4 linked regions of the Arabidopsis thaliana genome follow. The protein of the gene in region 2 interacts with the protein of the main gene of each other region in a pairwise test. Each region holds a gene or a part of one and is shown on either strand. Other genes may lie near its edges. The genes, in order: BNQ3, FRU, BHLH100 and AGL44.

The links.
Region 1: the proteins of FRU (region 2) and BNQ3 interact in binary tests that used the Arabidopsis thaliana proteins (3 or more experiments, as listed by UniProt).
Region 3: the proteins of FRU (region 2) and BHLH100 interact in binary tests that used the Arabidopsis thaliana proteins (3 or more experiments, as listed by UniProt).
Region 4: the proteins of FRU (region 2) and AGL44 interact in binary tests that used the Arabidopsis thaliana proteins (3 or more experiments, as listed by UniProt).

The regions. Positions count from the first base shown.
Region 1 is NC_003074.8:17,588,986-17,592,215, forward strand, and holds BNQ3 (BANQUO 3), read left to right. Parts: upstream 1-1,558; 5' UTR 1,559-1,743; coding exon 1,744-1,872; intron 1,873-2,320; coding exon 2,321-2,470; 3' UTR 2,471-2,685; downstream 2,686-3,230. UniProt on the Arabidopsis thaliana protein: Atypical and probable non DNA-binding bHLH transcription factor that integrates multiple signaling pathways to regulate cell elongation and plant development.
Region 2 is NC_003071.7:12,002,908-12,006,779, forward strand, and holds FRU (FER-like regulator of iron uptake), read left to right. Parts: upstream 1-1,750; 5' UTR 1,751-1,805; coding exon 1,806-2,282; intron 2,283-2,363; coding exon 2,364-2,564; intron 2,565-2,639; coding exon 2,640-2,816; intron 2,817-2,899; coding exon 2,900-3,001; 3' UTR 3,002-3,088; coding exon of another isoform or gene 3,089-3,096; 3' UTR 3,097-3,369; downstream 3,370-3,872. Other genes in the region: ATCHX7 (Cation/hydrogen exchanger family protein), read right to left, coding at 3,464-3,872. UniProt on the Arabidopsis thaliana protein: Transcription factor. Essential protein involved in iron uptake responses. Regulates FRO2 at the level of mRNA accumulation and IRT1 at the level of protein accumulation. Confers enhanced iron mobilization responses at low iron supply.
Region 3 is NC_003071.7:17,197,488-17,201,255, reverse strand, and holds BHLH100 (basic helix-loop-helix protein 100), read left to right. Parts: upstream 1-1,801; 5' UTR 1,802-1,935; coding exon 1,936-2,217; intron 2,218-2,478; coding exon 2,479-2,925; 3' UTR 2,926-3,219; downstream 3,220-3,768. Other genes in the region: AT2G41250 (Haloacid dehalogenase-like hydrolase (HAD) superfamily protein), read left to right, coding at 98-271, 365-394. UniProt on the Arabidopsis thaliana protein: Plays a role in metal homeostasis. Confers tolerance to high zinc (Zn) and nickel (Ni).
Region 4 is NC_003071.7:6,016,913-6,024,407, forward strand, and holds AGL44 (AGAMOUS-like 44), read left to right. Parts: upstream 1-1,645; 5' UTR 1,646-1,726; intron 1,727-1,896; 5' UTR 1,897-1,928; coding exon 1,929-2,113; intron 2,114-4,247; coding exon 4,248-4,326; intron 4,327-5,613; coding exon 5,614-5,675; intron 5,676-5,885; coding exon 5,886-5,985; intron 5,986-6,091; coding exon 6,092-6,133; intron 6,134-6,246; coding exon 6,247-6,330; intron 6,331-6,427; coding exon 6,428-6,564; intron 6,565-6,633; coding exon 6,634-6,652; 3' UTR 6,653-6,657; coding exon of another isoform or gene 6,658-6,673; 3' UTR 6,674-6,951; downstream 6,952-7,495. UniProt on the Arabidopsis thaliana protein: Probable transcription factor. Required for root plasticity in response to nitrate, NO(3)(-). Promotes lateral root growth in a NRT1.1-dependent manner.

The sequences.
Region 1 (3,230 bases), on a different chromosome or scaffold from region 2:
AATCAAATGAAAATGTAAAATAAAATAATAAAAAAATGTAAAACAATCCACATATGAAAAAAAAATCTATTACTAGATTAAATCTAATAACGATTTAAAAATAGACAATACGTGTTCGGAATTTGGAATCAAAGTCCAATTTTCTCTTCTAACTTCTTAATTAAAAAACAAACTTTTAGTTTACAATTTATTTAATGAATTAAATTAAAAATATATTTTTTCTCAATTGTTGGTGTAACCATAATTAACTAATGGAATTTTTTGGAGAAAATATTAATTACTTCAATAAAACGAATGTTATTTATTATCTAAATATAAAGATATTACATGATGGGAAGAGAGACGGGTTACCATATAGTTTGATACCTAGACAAATTTCTGTCTGTAGACTATAAAATTATTTATAGGAATCATTTCCATTGATTAGAAATTCTTGAGATATAGTGATAAAATTGTCAGATCTAAATGGATAAATAATCGAGCGCTTGATTGATTATTCCAAATTTGCAATATATTAATCAACTGATTGATGCCCATGGTATACAAATAAAAATGGAAGAAAGACCAAACTAAGGTACACTCAAAATGGAAAAGACTGATATTAGAATTGTTTAATTTCATCTCTAATAAAACTAAATCAACTTAATTATTTATGTTTGTCTGTACATGCTCAAATTAGTATATGTACTAGATCAAGTATGTAACTATATAAATAAATTAATCTTGCAATATAACTATAGAAGTTGATTAACATTTCCAGGAGTTAATCCTAATTTTACAGTTCTTGGATTAATTAAGATATCATACAAACTAATCATAATTTGTAGTCTAGTACCAAAGTTTGTATTATCACCAATTCCAGAATTTATGCAAGTTTGCCGATAAGTATGACAAACATGCATACATATTCTCTTTGTCTTATAAACCCAAAATGTTTTAGTATACTCTATTCGTGCCAAAAAAAAATATGAAAGAAGGTATCCTCCAACTATAATCAAACATCACCTTTTAAATGATTTACTAAAATGGCACAAGATCACTCTTGTTCTGAAGTTGGTTACTAGTGAAACATATATAGAAAAATGAAAACTGGATTAGCAAAAAAAATAATGTGGAATTAAAATGAATTTTAATCTTCTATTTTATAATGAATTGTAATTGGATAAATGGAAATGTTTTTCCTATATAAGTTTAAAAACATAACGAGACGAAAATTTTCTACCGTTAACAACAAAGATGTTCTTGCAAATAAGATAAGCGTTTTTTTATTGCACAAATATATCTATAAATTTTAGATAAAATATAAATTCTTACCCATTGAGATTTGCATAATACTATTCAGAGTGTTTTTTTTCCCTTTCGTTAAAGACTACTAGTCAGAGTGTTAATCTAGTAATTCACCAATTAATTTAACTATACTTAAAAATATTACAGTTTTTAGGAAACATGCTAGAAAAAACATATATAATTTTGCAATTATATTATTCCATGCATACACATGTAGAGCCAAAAACGGAGAAAAATCTTCTATATAAACACAAGTTGAAACCATTCATGTTTATTTTAAGCAGTTGCAGTAGACTCTTCCACTTCTGTATTCAATTCTTCCTTCTTTTTTCTCTTATAATATAAATAACATACAAAGAAAATACTTGCACTCACAAATATTGATTAAAGTTAATTAGTGAACCCTAAGATTTATAAATCTCTAGCTATACTCTACCATATCATATATATTACATAATGTCTAGCAGAAAATCACGTTCAAGACAAACTGGAGCTTCCATGATCACGGATGAACAAATCAACGATCTTGTCCTCCAGCTTCATCGGCTTCTCCCCGAACTTGCTAACAACAGACGCTCTGGAAAGGTACAACGTTCTAATCAATTTTTCATTATGATTCCTTTTAAAAAATTTAATTTCCTCTTTCAAACCTTAAATCTTTTCTAAACCTTTTTAAATCTTCCTTGGATTAGTAGTGGGTACTTAAAAGAACAAACCTCCGGTTTAAAAAAAATAAAAATAATAACTAATATATATCCTCCATCAAAGTTTAACAGTAATTCTTTCATCTTTCTGTTGTTGCAAACAAACGAGAGTCTTTAGTTAGAATTATAAATAAATATTAAACTAATATTCCATATATTCCAATATTGCATGTATGTATTGATTCATTTGATTGTGATGCATTTTGTGACGAGTGCTAAATTTTAATTTCCAAACTAATCGACAATAAATAGCATGCTGCATGCATGATAATTAAATTGTTAATTATATATAAGATCCTTCTTCTTATCAATATATTGGTTACTTTCAGGTTTCAGCATCAAGGGTATTACAAGAGACATGCAGTTACATAAGGAACTTGAGCAAAGAAGTGGATGATCTTAGTGAAAGATTGTCTCAACTTTTGGAATCAACTGATTCAGCTCAAGCTGCACTAATCCGAAGTTTGCTTATGCAGTAGAATTAGTGCAATAAACGAAGGATATTTTTTTCTTTTCTTTTTTTTGAAAAAATGTCTTCTCAGTTTTAATTCCCCTTCTTATTGTATTTATAATGTCTGGCAGCTTGTGTCCCCTGTTAATTATGCAATGTTTTATTTTTAATATATGTAGGGTTTTGTTTTTGTCAGTTGTTGAACGAAGCAAATGGTTTGGGTTTACGTTCACATTATTTAAGGCAACACACTCAATATATGGGCTTAGGTATTTCTTAGATTCTAGGCATTCCAACCAAATCCATCACATTTTAGTAGCAAAAACATTGATTAAATTTTGAATTTACGAGAAGAACAATGTTTTCTAGTGTCATGCATATACGATTATAACGGTGTTTTTGTAGTTAATATCGATAGGAACTAAACTAACGCAAGTCAAATTTTCTGATCAAAATTAGTCGTTAATTTCGCTTAATGGTATAAAGTATATTTTAAGAAGGAATAAAATATGCTAATAAGCCCCCACGGTTTCCATTTCTGGTAACAAGAATACCATTCAACGTCTCGATCAGCAGCAACGTTGAATCGTTGATATCTATATATAGAAGTATAGAACCAAGGGGTAATTTGGTCATTCCAGTTCTAACCCACTTCTATTACAAGAGCAGTTTACTACGTAAAAACGACCGGCCTTCCACTTTCCCGAAAACAGCCAGCGCCCGCACGTAGAGATTTACTGCATATTCAGTTTTCAGTAAATAAATAGTCCACAAAATTAGTGGCCTTG
Region 2 (3,872 bases):
TATTCAGAGTTATGTTTCTAAAGATGTGATAGGTACAGCAAAATTGTATTTGTTCCAAATGTCAATTAGTGAAGAAAAGAAAAAGAGTTGTCATATTTGTTGGAGTACTGAAAGATAATCATGTGGCAAAAAAAAAACGAAATAGGAAGAATTTCAGTAAAAATTATGCTAGCTTCACATGTATCAAATATATTTGAACCAAAGTATGCCATATTCATGAATTGTTTTTACAACAATTTTTATTTGTTTTAAACTCTAGAGGCTATATGTGAAAAAAAATTTTACAGCAAAAATAAGATTATATCAGAAACATTACAGACCGAAATTTACAGCCACGATCTAACCAAACATCTACTAAATTGACATAATAGCATTATTCAAATATTTATTTGGAAATTGGTTGATGTTTTTGAAAGTTGTGGAGTATCCCAAAAATCCAATGTTGCTCAAAAGTTCAGTTTCTCTAATAAATTCAACACCTAGATGGAATCTATAATTGGTTGACTTTTTTTTTTTTTTTTTTTTTACAGTTATATACCTGAAAAAATATTCCAACTTGAAATATTATAAAGAGTTGATTTTTGTCCTAACCGGCCAAGACTTTAATATTTTATACTGTCTTTCTTTGCTATCCTTTGTTTGTTTGTTGAGACAAGAACGAAAACCGTGCATTGAACAGGCTTCTTCATAATTTAATTGCGGTTTATCCTTAAATGATTTGAAAAATGGAAATGCATTTATCAAAAATAAAAGAAAATAATTGAAATGCTATTATATTCCAGAGTTGGTTTGTTATTTGAAAATTATGCTGGTTTAAGTTTATATTTGAAATTAATTTTGGCCGTTTTTCTACAAAACATATTTATCATATTGGAGTACTTTTTAAATACACTAACATAAAAATGTTGAGAAAAACTTTTGTTAAAATTCTAGCTTGTGACAACTAAACCAGTTGACATCTACAGTTGTAATAAGCCGATTGCAAATTAATTCCTAACATTTTAATAAACAAGAATATATGTGGATCTAAATTCAAAAATATAAACAGTACACTAACATTTGTACGTCTAATATCGTAGTAAACTTTTACTTATGAACACCTTTTTAATACGGTCTGATCGATTTATTTATTTATATAACCAAAACTCATATATATTCATAAACTAAATTATATAGTAACAGGATATATTATGAGCTTAATATACATGCTATATGCCTATATAAGGTCTTAATAACCAAAACTCATAATAATGTATTCATAAACTAAATTATATAGTAATATTTTTGGTATATTTTATAACTTTAAAAAACTCTAAATATTTGTGGTATTTTTGAAAATGGATAAAAATGATATTTTTGGAAAGTAGTATAATTTTAAAAAACTTCTCCCAATAAAGACATGACCAAAAATGTGTGTTATTTCTATATATATTTTTTTTTTTTTTTGATCAACATATACTCTTGTTTCTAATCTGCATTCCCTCCACCACAAAAAAAAATTCAAATGATAAAATATAAAGAAGAACAATGTGGAAATATAATTGTCATGCAACACGACAAATTAATCATTCGAGTAACATAATTTATACATATAATATACAGGTCATGCATGACATTACAAGACGTAACTGAATAAACTAATATCAACCAACTATCAAGAGTACATTTCTTTAAATTTGTTTTAATTGATTTCTTAACTTATTATGTTAATTAATACAGTTTATTTCATACTCACTCTATTATATAAACTCATTTTGTCTCTCTTTCGTTGTCAACAACTTTTCTTCATTGACAAAAACACACAAATGGAAGGAAGAGTCAACGCTCTGTCAAACATAAACGATCTCGAACTTCACAATTTCTTGGTCGATCCAAACTTCGATCAGTTCATAAACCTCATAAGAGGAGATCATCAAACCATTGACGAAAACCCAGTTCTTGATTTCGATCTTGGTCCATTACAAAACAGCCCCTGTTTCATAGACGAGAACCAGTTCATCCCAACACCTGTCGATGACCTCTTCGACGAATTGCCTGACTTAGACTCCAACGTTGCTGAATCATTCCGTAGCTTCGACGGTGATAGTGTTAGAGCCGGTGGTGAAGAAGATGAAGAAGATTACAACGACGGTGATGATTCTTCAGCCACTACTACGAATAATGATGGGACCCGTAAGACGAAGACTGATCGGTCTAGGACTTTGATCTCTGAGAGAAGAAGGAGAGGGCGTATGAAGGATAAGCTTTATGCATTGAGATCTCTTGTTCCCAATATTACTAAGGTAAGTCACAACATTTTCAAGATTTGGTAATGACTAATGAAACTGTAAATATTGATGAAGTATGTGTGTGTTGGCATTTAGATGGATAAAGCATCCATTGTTGGAGATGCAGTGTTGTATGTTCAAGAACTTCAGTCACAAGCGAAGAAACTCAAATCCGATATCGCGGGTCTTGAAGCTTCTTTAAACTCTACTGGAGGGTACCAAGAACATGCTCCTGATGCTCAAAAGACTCAACCTTTTCGCGGTATCAATCCTCCTGCTTCCAAAAAAATCATTCAGGTAATAACCTAAAAAAACCAATCAATCTTCTTGAAACATCAAAGTGTTTAAAGTTTGTATGTTTTGTTGTGTTAGATGGATGTTATACAAGTGGAGGAGAAAGGGTTTTATGTGAGATTGGTGTGTAACAAAGGAGAAGGTGTTGCTCCATCTCTTTACAAGTCTTTGGAGTCTCTTACAAGTTTCCAAGTGCAGAACTCTAACCTAAGCTCTCCTTCTCCGGACACATACCTCTTAACATATACCTTAGATGTAAATCAACTTGTGCCCTTTTACTTTGTTTTGTTTCCGAGTATACCGTTTACTTACCGAGTTTTCTTGTGTGGTGGAAACAGGGGACATGCTTCGAACAGAGCTTAAACTTGCCTAACCTGAAGCTGTGGATCACTGGATCACTTTTAAATCAAGGTTTTGAATTCATCAAGTCATTTACTTGATTCTATAACGCTTGCTCTAACGTGAGTCAAATCCGGTTCTGCACTATATTGATTGTGTACCTTTCTTACATGTTTCATAACTTCCAGGGCTCTAATTTCTATTCTAGTGATGATGTAACCGAGATTGTTGATTCTCTATTGAATAAACACCATGTTATATAGTAATTTAGCGACAAATTGTATGGTTAAATGAAGTAATATTTATGTTTTGTTTATAGTCTCAAGTCTTAAGTTTCTTTTGCTTTGATATATCACGTTTTGGTTCATTGGCTGTATTATTGCTTTGTTGTTGCAAGACCATTCACATCTTGATTCTATGTATTGTTCTCTGTTTGATTGGTAAAAGAATAAAGAATTTTAACCCCGAGAAAGCAGTACAGACGACCTATATGGATCGCCGACTCAACTCTAGGAACCTAATTTGTGCTTTGGATATTCATAACATGGTAAAACAAAAAGATTCTAATATTGTTGCTGTTGCAAGACCAAGACAGATGCCCTTGAAGGAAACTCCTTTGACGCTATAACATCTCCGAGGGCTCCAAGTTCCTCGAACTCTGTCCATTCATTTAATCCTTTTGTAACTGCGCTATTCATTCCGCTACTTCTTCCAACTATAAACAAATCATAATCATACGCTATTGATCTAAGTATCACTGAAGTCTCAGCCCCTTCTTTGACGCTTTTTTCTATACATATCCATGAATCATTTTCATTTGAATCCTCAGTCTTCATTATCTCTTTTATGTCATCGTAATCCAACTTCTGCACCGAGTCTTCGCTTTCCTCGGTAGTAAGTTGAGGTATGAGGTGTAAGATGGTTACGCTTGTCTGCTTGTTTCTCCTCATACGGTTGGTGAATGCTAAGGCT
Region 3 (3,768 bases), 5.2 Mb from region 2:
GATAACCTCTTTTCGTTTATATATTTTTGTTGATGATCCGAAACGTTTTGGGAGTGAGTGTGTAAATACTTAAGGTTTTTGGTTGAATGTTTAACAGGTTGAAGCGGAAAAACCAAACCCGACTATCTTCTTAAAAGCTTGTGAGTTATTAGAAGTGAATCCCGAGGATGCGGTTCATGTAGGAGATGACCGTAGGAATGATGTATGGGGAGCTAGAGACGCAGGCTGTGACGCTTGGCTCTGGGGAAGTGAAGTTACGTCATTTAAACAGGTAAACGAATCTCTCTGGTTTTGCTCAAATCTCTCAAGAATTTAAAAATCATTGGTTTACTTGAAATGAATGTGCTTTTGTTTTGTTCTGCAGGTTGCTCAACGGATAGGAGTGAAGGTCTGAAGCAAAAGCATATGAGAGAAATGGTTCAGAGACATGTTCAGACTTCAGTTTTAGCTTCTTCTTTTTTTGTGTGAGCAGTTTTGTATATTCCATTTCTCTTTTGTAGCATAATGTGTGTAATATATGTTGCGGCTAATGTAGAAAACCAGAAAACAATGTATAATAAAAGATCAATAATAAGCTTCATGATCGTTCTTAATCCGAACCGAAGTGTTGTACTGTTTTCGACATTTGCTTATAAAAGAAGGAGAATTGAGTTCTTTAAATATGTGATCAAGAAGAGATCAAGAAAAATGGAAATTTAGAGTTGAACCTAGGCAACGTATGGACAATACCAAAAGTTGCCAACATATCAATGGATAAATCTAATCAAACTGTATCTGTGATTATTGTGGGTTGTATTTTAACATTATGTTCATAATTGTTGACAAATAGTCAAATACTTCACATTTTAGAGATTATCTACATATAATGGGCTACAAACATGTAAACTCATTGCAAAAAAAAGAAAAAGAAAAAGCAATTATCTTAGGGCCAATTGTTTTTAGAGAAGCCCATTTAGATCTTTGGATTTAAAGAGGCGTAAATAGAATGAGGAAAAATCCAAAATATCTCCGTCTCTCTTTTATCCTCGTCCATGGATAATAGAATAGAATCAAGGCTTTTGGCCTGACCGAGATGACCGGAGTTGACTTGTGTAATATGATCAGAAAGGCTATAATATAATACAAAATAAACGATAGACACTACACCATATAAGATGTAATTAATAAATTTAAATAAGGAATATACATTTGTTAAATATTTGTAAACACTTAATGCCTACGTATATACTACATAGAAATGGTTGGATTCAGGAGAAAAGCCTTAACATATTCCACGTGATTTGCTCGTGCCTCTCAATAGTCCACGTCCACCAAACCCGTGTATCCTCGTGTACTTCTTCTCAGTGTCTGTCTCTTTTCTTCCAGCTGCGTCATAATTCATATTTTTGGTCTTAGTTTACTTAACGTATTTGTGGTAGAAAAATGTGATTGCATATTCTGTATCTTCTTATAGTAGTTGTTCCTATTTAACTGTTATTTTTTGCTAACTAAATAATTTGCTTAATAAATCGAATTTCTATTTTGACACATTATAAAATATTTAGAATTTTTGATTAATACTCATACATTCATATTCATGTAATTATACGATACAATAGTGTAAACTTATGTTATAAATTACGATAAGAACATTAGGATATTAATGCCTGTATCCGGAGGTCAACAGGTGATCCTTGGAACATGCTCCTACTTGGGGGAAAAGTGCTCAACCACGTGTCAACGCATGTCCACTCGTGACCCAATGTATTTTAATTTATTACATATACAACACAGAGTCATTAGTATTTTTCTTGTGTCCGTGTGTGTGTATCAGTGTATATATAAACAAAAATGAGTGTCCACATAAATAATCCAACTAACACATCAGCATAATCCCAACCGAAACAGCTTCTAGAGAGAGACAAAAAAGAACAGAGTAACTATCTAAAACTCAAAATGTGTGCACTTGTCCCTCCATTATATCCCAATTTCGGCTGGCCTTGCGGAGATCATAGCTTCTATGAAACCGACGACGTATCCAACACGTTTCTTGATTTTCCGTTGCCGGACTTGACGGTGACTCATGAGAATGTGTCGTCTGAGAATAACAGAACATTACTAGACAATCCCGTGGTGATGAAGAAGCTTAATCACAACGCGAGTGAACGTGAGCGTCGCAAGAAGATCAACACAATGTTCTCATCTCTTCGTTCTTGTCTTCCTCCCACCAATCAAACGGTAACTGTTAATTCTATATACTTTTCTATTTCTAAAATTATGAAAAAATTTGAAAGTTTAGTTTAATATTCAACAGAAACAAAAAAATATCAAATGTTTTCTTGCAAATGCTAAAAGTTGTTATTCATTGCTTTTGCAATTTTGGTGTTGATACAAACAGTGATATGTTTTGTTTTTTCTAACGCAAAGAAGGAAAAAAAAATCGGTCCCAAGTAACATAAACTGAAAGATCTGTCCTATTTTTTATGTATTTTCTTGCAGAAGAAGTTAAGTGTTTCGGCAACAGTTTCACAAGCATTGAAGTACATACCAGAGCTGCAAGAGCAAGTTAAAAAGCTCATGAAGAAGAAAGAAGAGCTCTCGTTTCAAATTTCGGGTCAAAGAGATCTCGTTTACACCGACCAAAACAGTAAGTCAGAGGAAGGGGTTACAAGCTATGCGTCGACAGTTTCTTCGACTAGGCTCAGTGAGACTGAAGTGATGGTCCAAATTTCATCGTTACAGACTGAAAAATGTTCGTTTGGGAATGTCTTGAGTGGTGTAGAAGAAGATGGGTTGGTTCTTGTGGGTGCTTCATCTTCAAGGTCTCATGGAGAGCGACTCTTTTACTCTATGCATCTTCAGATAAAAAATGGCCAGGTGAATTCCGAAGAATTAGGTGATAGATTGTTGTACTTGTACGAGAAATGTGGACACTCGTTTACATGATTTAATAATTAACGATGCTATATATATTTTTTCTGTTTTGTCTCTCGTTAAAATTCGAGGTTCTTTTTAGAAATAGGTTTTTTTTTTGTATATTAATTTTAATATATTATATTATTTTGGCGAAATGAAAGTTTCACGGGCAAACGTTTTGGTACCGATTTGGAAGGAGAACAACGCGAACATGGGTTGTGTGCAACAGTGTAAAGGTTTATATATCTGTGTATATTTTATGAGGATTTGTCATCTCACATCTGTGGTTACACACCGATGTCATATGTGGACACTAATTATCTGAAAGTCTTTAACAAAAAAATCATCTGAAGTCATTTTTTTAACCTTTCGTATTCAATTTTTTTCCGTTTGATTCGGCAAAATTACATATTTAAAAACCCTGAAATCAAAACAGAAGCACATAACTTATGGATGGTGAATCAGTGTTTAAAAACACATAATAATCTTCCCAATTATCAAGCCTGCCTGATCTAAAATTAGGTGAATGATCGCTTTTGGGCCTTAATTGGAAGAATAATTTTGGCCCATTTTGTTTCAAATAAATACTAAGGCATATTTGTTTGCACCAAAAAAAAAAAAAACAAGCATATTTGTAAATTAAAAATAATATCCTAATAAAATACCTAATCTTATTTTCAAATTTAGTTTTTAGTGTCTTAAATTTTAACATGATCGATTATATTACCTAGCTATGTAATTTATAATATACAAAGAAAACCAAAAGATCTTCGAAATGTTTAAGTCTTTCTTTCTAGTTTGTCTTACCATAAATTCTTTAACCAAAAACTGCAAAGGGAATAACTTTTCTGGGTCGACTGCATCAACGAAGCT
Region 4 (7,495 bases), 6.0 Mb from region 2:
GGGTGTGAGTTAGGCCCATACTGATACTCTCAGTCTCTCATTACATTAAATTTTACTTAGTTTTTGTATCCAATATATTTAAAGTTTATATCCAAGAGATCACTAAACTCAAGGAAAATTTAACAACTAGAAAATTATTAGACCTTATCATGAATTCTTTCCAGCCTCAGTAATAAAACAAATGTCGTTACAGAGAGTCAATTTTTGAACTGGTTTTAGATTTTGCTCATACATCCAATACAATGACCTTCACATGTCCTAGTGATGACATGTGATATAAGTCACTGAGTCTCACATCCACGCAATCTAAATTATTTCTTTAATTCTAGCATAAAGATCCTATCCTGGTTACCAATGGGTTTCAAATACCCAACTGTTGTTTGAACTGTCAAAATAGTGTCATCCTTTAGATCCCTAAATAAATATAATGGATGGACTACTCGACCGTTAAAAAATTCAATAGATAAATCGAACCATATTCGATCCGAATTACCTTTTGTTATCTTAAGCTTTTTTTTTGTTTTTTTTTTTGGCATTTTGGACCTTTAAATTTAACAAATAATCATACTTATAAATTATCTAAGAACAAAGTTGTTATAGTTAAATCATTTATGAGTAGTAAACATATTCATGACAATGATGTAGAAATATTTATACATACTCAATGTAATAAGTGAAATAAAAATTCATTCAAGATCAAGAAAAATTAAAATATGAATGGAGAATCCAATACCAACTAGATTAAAGAACAAGGTTGTAAAACGATTCATGAGTAGTGTCACATTCATGAAATTAATATATAAAATTTTACATTGACAGAAAAAATATAAAAATTAAAAAACAATAAGGAATTTAAAAAATATATACTCAACATGTAATATATATATGTAAAATAAAATCACACTAAAATGGTATCCTCGATTGTATAGAAACTTCCAAATTTCTAAACGGATGCAATAAGAACTTACATATTCTCTTTCATTAGTCATTTATTGGCCAGATTTATTAAAAAAAGTTTTACTCAATGACCAAGGATTAGAGTTAAAGATAATATAGATTATTACATATATTATTCGAAAAAATATACGCATGTCCGACTTTTTAAACCTCAAAAATATCAAAACCAGAAAAGATGATACCACACAAAAAAACAATAAAATAATAAGTGGAAGAGATATCATCGGACAACAGTACAAGTACAGCACCAGCTCTGCCAAAAGCCAAAACCATTTGTCAATTACAGAAAGATACTATTGTTTGCAATTACTAAATTACCCCTCGGACTTTACAAAAGCATCTCTAACTTATCCACGTGTCAGTCATCTATTGATTGTTTCAATACCACCTTGTATTAACGCCCCACGATTCGTGGTTGGGTACACCTGATAGTCCGAGGATATTTAAATCTCACGCGCTCGTGTCTATAATTCGACTGTACTCGCTTTTCTTGTCGTGATTTTAGCAATTTACGAAGTCAAATGTTTGACTCAATCAGACTTGCGCATAAGAGAGCGAGTATAAATGTTTACTATACTCACGCAAGTGGGGCTTTATTGAAACTACTCTTTTGTAATAAAACCAGCAGTGGTTTTGTTCTGAATCCGCTCTCTTGCCATATATACCACAAACAGAAACCACAGAAGATATCTTTTGAGAAGGAAAAAAAAAAAGAAGCTTCTCCTCTTCCTCTGCCTTCTTCTTTCCATTTATTGCAAACCCTGATCAAGTAAGTCAAATCTTCACGAACACATATGTATATAAATTCAATCCAAGAAACTAGGAGAAATCTATGAAAGAGGACAAATCTAAGTCAAGTTTGAATCAGGAAGATTATCTAGATTTGATCATTTTGACATTTACGATGTGCTTACTTATTCTTGATAAACTTTGATGCAGTTGGTTTTGGTGTTAGTCTTTTGGGGAGAGAGATGGGGAGAGGGAAGATAGTTATACGAAGGATCGATAACTCTACAAGTAGACAAGTGACTTTCTCCAAGAGAAGGAGTGGTTTGCTTAAGAAAGCTAAAGAGTTATCGATCCTTTGTGATGCAGAAGTTGGTGTTATCATATTCTCTAGCACCGGAAAGCTCTACGACTACGCAAGCAATTCAAGGTTAGCTTCTTTACTTCCTTAGTACAAGTCAATGAAGTAATTTTGCATTTGTCTTGCCTGTTAGATTCCTCAGTTCTCTTGATCCCAAGACATGTGTGTGTATATACAATTGTCACTAATGATAATGTCTCATCGTTACACACTTTTTGTCTCTCTCTCTTTTTTTTTTTGTCTAAGTATTAGTTTCTCGATAGGGTTATAGCACATGTTTAGCTATTTTGAACGATGATTTTTGATGTTTGTTTCTCCTTCGTTTTTTCAAATCAAACTTAAATTATTATATATCTTTAGATAGGCTTTAGTTTATCTTACACACATTGATTTGAATACAGACGATATATCCATGTAAGACTTGCATAGCAAATTATGATTTGAACATTCTTAACTTCAAATTATTTTATTTCCCTCATAGCTTTCGATAAGTATATGCACGTGTATCTATGTTTGTTGCAAGTGCATCAAGATAAATGGTTACTGATTTATGCCTTGCTAAGTGTTCAATTATAGAAAGAACATGAACCAGTACTATATACAGATCAAAAAAATTATTTCTACTTCTTCACTATGTGATGTATACAGACTATATTGATTAGAATTGTTTGTATTTTACTCTATCTACATTTTCACCTTTTATTATAATTGATTTGAATTCGTAATATGTCACATATATGTGACCATGTGCTATTTGATAAAATTTGAACTTGAAAAGATTAGTTTGTGGTTTTCTTTCATATAATATAGAACAAAAAGCATTTGATTCTGTGTTTTAACAAGTGTTTAAAAAAATACATTTTCCAATTTTGTATAAGCTAAGTATGTAATGTAAGTACATAATTAAAGAAAAGACATTCATGCGCATTTCCCTGAAATTTCTGTCTAAAAAATATATATGTCTCTAATATTTATACTTCAAAAATCTGTAAGATATATATATTTCATTCATCACTATATTTTATGTCCCTGATATTATTCTTTCATTATATTTATTTCCCTCATAGCTTTCTTATATATATATTCAATTTGTATATATATTTCAAAAATATTAGAGACATATATATGCTAAAATGAAAGATTCATCTACTTTTACAGTAAATAAAAAACAGGAGAAAAACATTCATCTGAAATCTAAATATTTAACAACAATTTATAAGAAATATATATGTCTCTAATATTTTGGAAGGTAAATGAATTGAATTAAATGTATGTAGTTTTTTCATTCTTTTGTTTTGATGATCATACTTCATTCATCATTTAAATATAAAATTAGTAGTCAAAATGTTTGTGTGAAATCTAAGATAATAAGAAAGGAATGAAAGAATTCCTTTTGCTCGAAACCACCTTTTGGAGAAGGTCAAGGAGCGAAGCGAAACTAACCTATTGTGGGTTGATTTATCGATCAATAAAACGAGTAAGAGGGAAGATGCTGGAGCATGGATTCCCAATCTAGATAATGAAATTTGTTCTAATCACCCACAATGTCGTCGGTACAAACCGTGAACGTGTACGGACAAAAAAGAATAGATTGTCCACTTCTTTCTCTTAAGTTAATACCTTCTTGTGTGTGTGTGTGTGTGTGGTGTTTGTACACTTAGTTTCTCTTATGTGTAGACTTCCGTGCAGGTACTTACAAAAATATCGAAATATTTTAGTAAGTCTAAAATAGAATGAATTTTGTAAATGGCTATATATGCGGAGACTTATTTACGATATATATATGGTGGTAGAATTGTAAGTAAGTTTGATGTATTTTGGCTTGTGTCTGAAATATACAAAATAACATGTTATTTTCTTAAAACACTTGCATCTTTCATGTCATACGTTGCTTTTACATCCGTACTTACTTTTTTTGTTAGTAATATTACGATATTTCTATATATGTTCGAACTATTGTTGTAGCCTTGTAGGTGCTCAAACGATATAGGTAGACAAACTTCATGCATATACTGGAATTGGCATTGTAAAACTTGTATCTATCTTATATAATTGATATCAAAATTCACAAATTTTAAAAAATAATTCAAACGACAAATTTGAGTTACTTAAGTTATATTACTTACTGTTGTCTGTTGAGTTAATTTTAATATGTTAATTAATGTATGATTAATAACATTGTTATCTTTTCGAACCTGAATAGTATGAAAACAATCATTGAGCGGTACAACAGAGTAAAAGAGGAGCAGCATCAACTTCTGAATCATGCCTCAGAGATAAAGGTATTCATAGTAAAGATTTTTACCTTTTTCTCTAAATTATAATTTATCTCATTAGGATGATAAACTTCTGAATGAACCCACATTCTTTTTAGGTTTTTCAAATGATTGTTTTTCTGTTTTTTTTTTATAATTAAATAAATTTATTAATTAAATGGAAGATTTTTTTAAATAGCGTTCTGAAAACATTTATAAAACATACATAAAAGAAACTAACCAAATAATTTTTGATTTAATAATTGATGCTTTCAAATTTGTAACTGAAAACAAAAATTGATGATTTCAATTTTTTTTAAATATAATATTAAATTATTTTTAAAAAATAAATAAACGTTTATACATATGAATGCAAAAAACTTTTTTAAAAAATCAAATAGATACTATCGACAGTGTTATCTCGTCGAAGCAAACCACGTTTGGATCCCGCCTTTGTATTTCTCACAACCCCCTCTCCTTGTTGTGAGCTTAATCGGTTCTTGATGTTTCTATGCTATATATCTAGAATCTTCTTAATATCGGTTTAACTGTTTCGAATAACTACATAAGCTCTGATTTTTTGCTACAAAAATGAAAAATCGTTTTTAGTTTATAAAATTAATATTAATAAAAACTATATTTTTTAATTGTAACAAAGAGGCTGATATATACGGTATCAAAGCAATCAAAAGAAAAATACAATTTCTTTGACCATATTAGCTGTAGCCTGTAGTTATGATAATTAGTTTAAGGTAACAAATTTATTGTCTTACTGATCTAAATGCTTGCACGAACATACCAAGATTAATATAATGGTTTAAAGAGCCATCATCTCGAATATGGACATATTATGGATAACAATTGCTCATTTTAGAAAAAACAAGGGACCTTAATTAGTACATAAGATAAATGGACAAATGCTTTGCTAATTGGTTTTGAGTTGAAAGCTTATATCATAATATTTTATATAAATAAAGTCTCATAATTTCAATTTAGTTAGTTTTAATCTTTCCCATTTTCTGCTACATAATCAACCTATTTTGAAACCCTAAAAACTTCTATATTTCTAGAAGTATCTAAATAGTTTGTGATTTGTGAGTTGATGATCATTAACGAGATTGTTTCTATTTTTTAAAAAGCTTAGCTTATAATGATTGCTAATTAAATTAATCGAACATCTACACATATGATCGTCCATGAGTCTAAGAACATGAAGCTCTGGTTTGAGGCAACCAATATATAGTTGTTATGACTAGGGCCACTTTAATATATTCATTTACATTCACATCATTAGTTTTCTCTTTATGTTATCAGTTTTGGCAAAGAGAGGTTGCAAGTTTGCAGCAGCAGCTCCAATATCTACAAGAATGCCACAGGTAAGAGCTATTGCACATGTCAAAACAGAAACTGAGTATTATAAGATACAATATACTAATCTAATCTCGCTACTTATTTACAAAAACTATCAATTATATATAAGAAATTGCAAGTAAAAACAAATAGATTTTGACCGAAGAGCTAGCATGTTAAACAAATTATATTTCACTCCCAAATGCATTATAAAATTAACCTATAATACTATGAAGGAAACTAGTGGGAGAGGAACTTTCTGGAATGAATGCTAACGACCTACAAAACCTTGAAGACCAGCTAGTAACAAGTCTAAAAGGTGTTCGTCTCAAAAAGGTATGGTTTTAAGGAACATTTTATACAAACATATTTTGGACAAAGATTATTGGTGCCTCTCTTTCACTGCCATACTATTTGGACAACTAATTATTCTCTTTTGTAGGATCAACTTATGACAAATGAAATCAGAGAACTTAATCGTAAGGTTTGTTAGCCAAATAATCAAAATATGTTCTTTTGGGGTTAATAAGAAGATTGACAATGTTTGATGATTTTTTTTTTTCATCTTTAAACCAACAATGTTTGATTCTATTACAGGGACAAATCATCCAAAAAGAGAATCACGAGCTACAAAATATTGTAGATATAATGCGTAAGGAAAATATTAAATTGCAAAAGAAGGTGACACAAATGCTTTTATTTAGATAAAAAAAAAATGTTTATGTAGAAACATTTCTTGATCATGTTAACCTAATTAAACACTTGTCGTGGCCAACAGGTTCATGGAAGAACAAATGCGATTGAAGGCAATTCAAGTGTAGATCCAATAAGCAATGGAACCACAACATATGCACCACCGCAACTTCAACTCATACAACTACAACCAGCTCCTAGAGAAAAATCAATCAGACTAGGGTAAGTTTTCTCACTCAACCAGTAAATCTATAAACTAAGCTTATAGACTTATAGTTCTTAATTTTATAGAATATGTCTGAATCTTTGAATTAGGCTACAACTTTCCTAGCAAAACATGTGGGACATCGAACAATATACGAAAAGAGTTTGTATGTCATCTTCAGTAACAACCAAGCTGGATCATTTCATTCTTGGTTATGTAATTCTGTTTACTACTTTGGAGTTTAATATGTATATGACAAGTTTCTCTTTGTCAAGTTACTTGTGTATGTACATCATAAAATAATGATGTGATGTGAGTGCCGAACATACTAGACATCATTTTACCGTGTGTTTTTTTCGGGTACATTAAATCTACAAAATCCAGTCTAATTGGCATTTTTATACAAAGTGAACAAATAGAGATTGATGTATGAGAAGAAGTTTCTTGTCCTTATTCACAGTAGCCTTTACATTGTTATATAGGTAAGAGACGATATCTACTTTCCTAAAGAGATACAAATCAAAATCAATTCACAGTAAATGTGATTGATATTGGAGCGTATCACATTGATACGTTAGGATACGCTATTACCCCCTCCCAAGCTGGTGCGTGGAGATCAAGAATGCCCAGCTTGCTGCGAAATAGCTCATATGCTTGTCGTCCTAACGGTTTCGTAAAAATGTCGGCTAGCTGTTGAGTTGTGGAAACATGATGTGGAGACATGGTTCCTTTTTGTATTTCACACGAACAACATGACAGTCATTCTCGATGTGCTTGGTACGTTCATGAAAGACTGGATTAGTACTTATGTAGATCGCTGCTTTGCTATCACAGAAAATGTTCATCGGTTGATCATGACGAACACCCATTGATAGAAGTACCTTCTTTATCCATAATAGTTCATCTCGAAGATGAGATATTGCTCTGTATTCAGCCTCCGCGGATTAC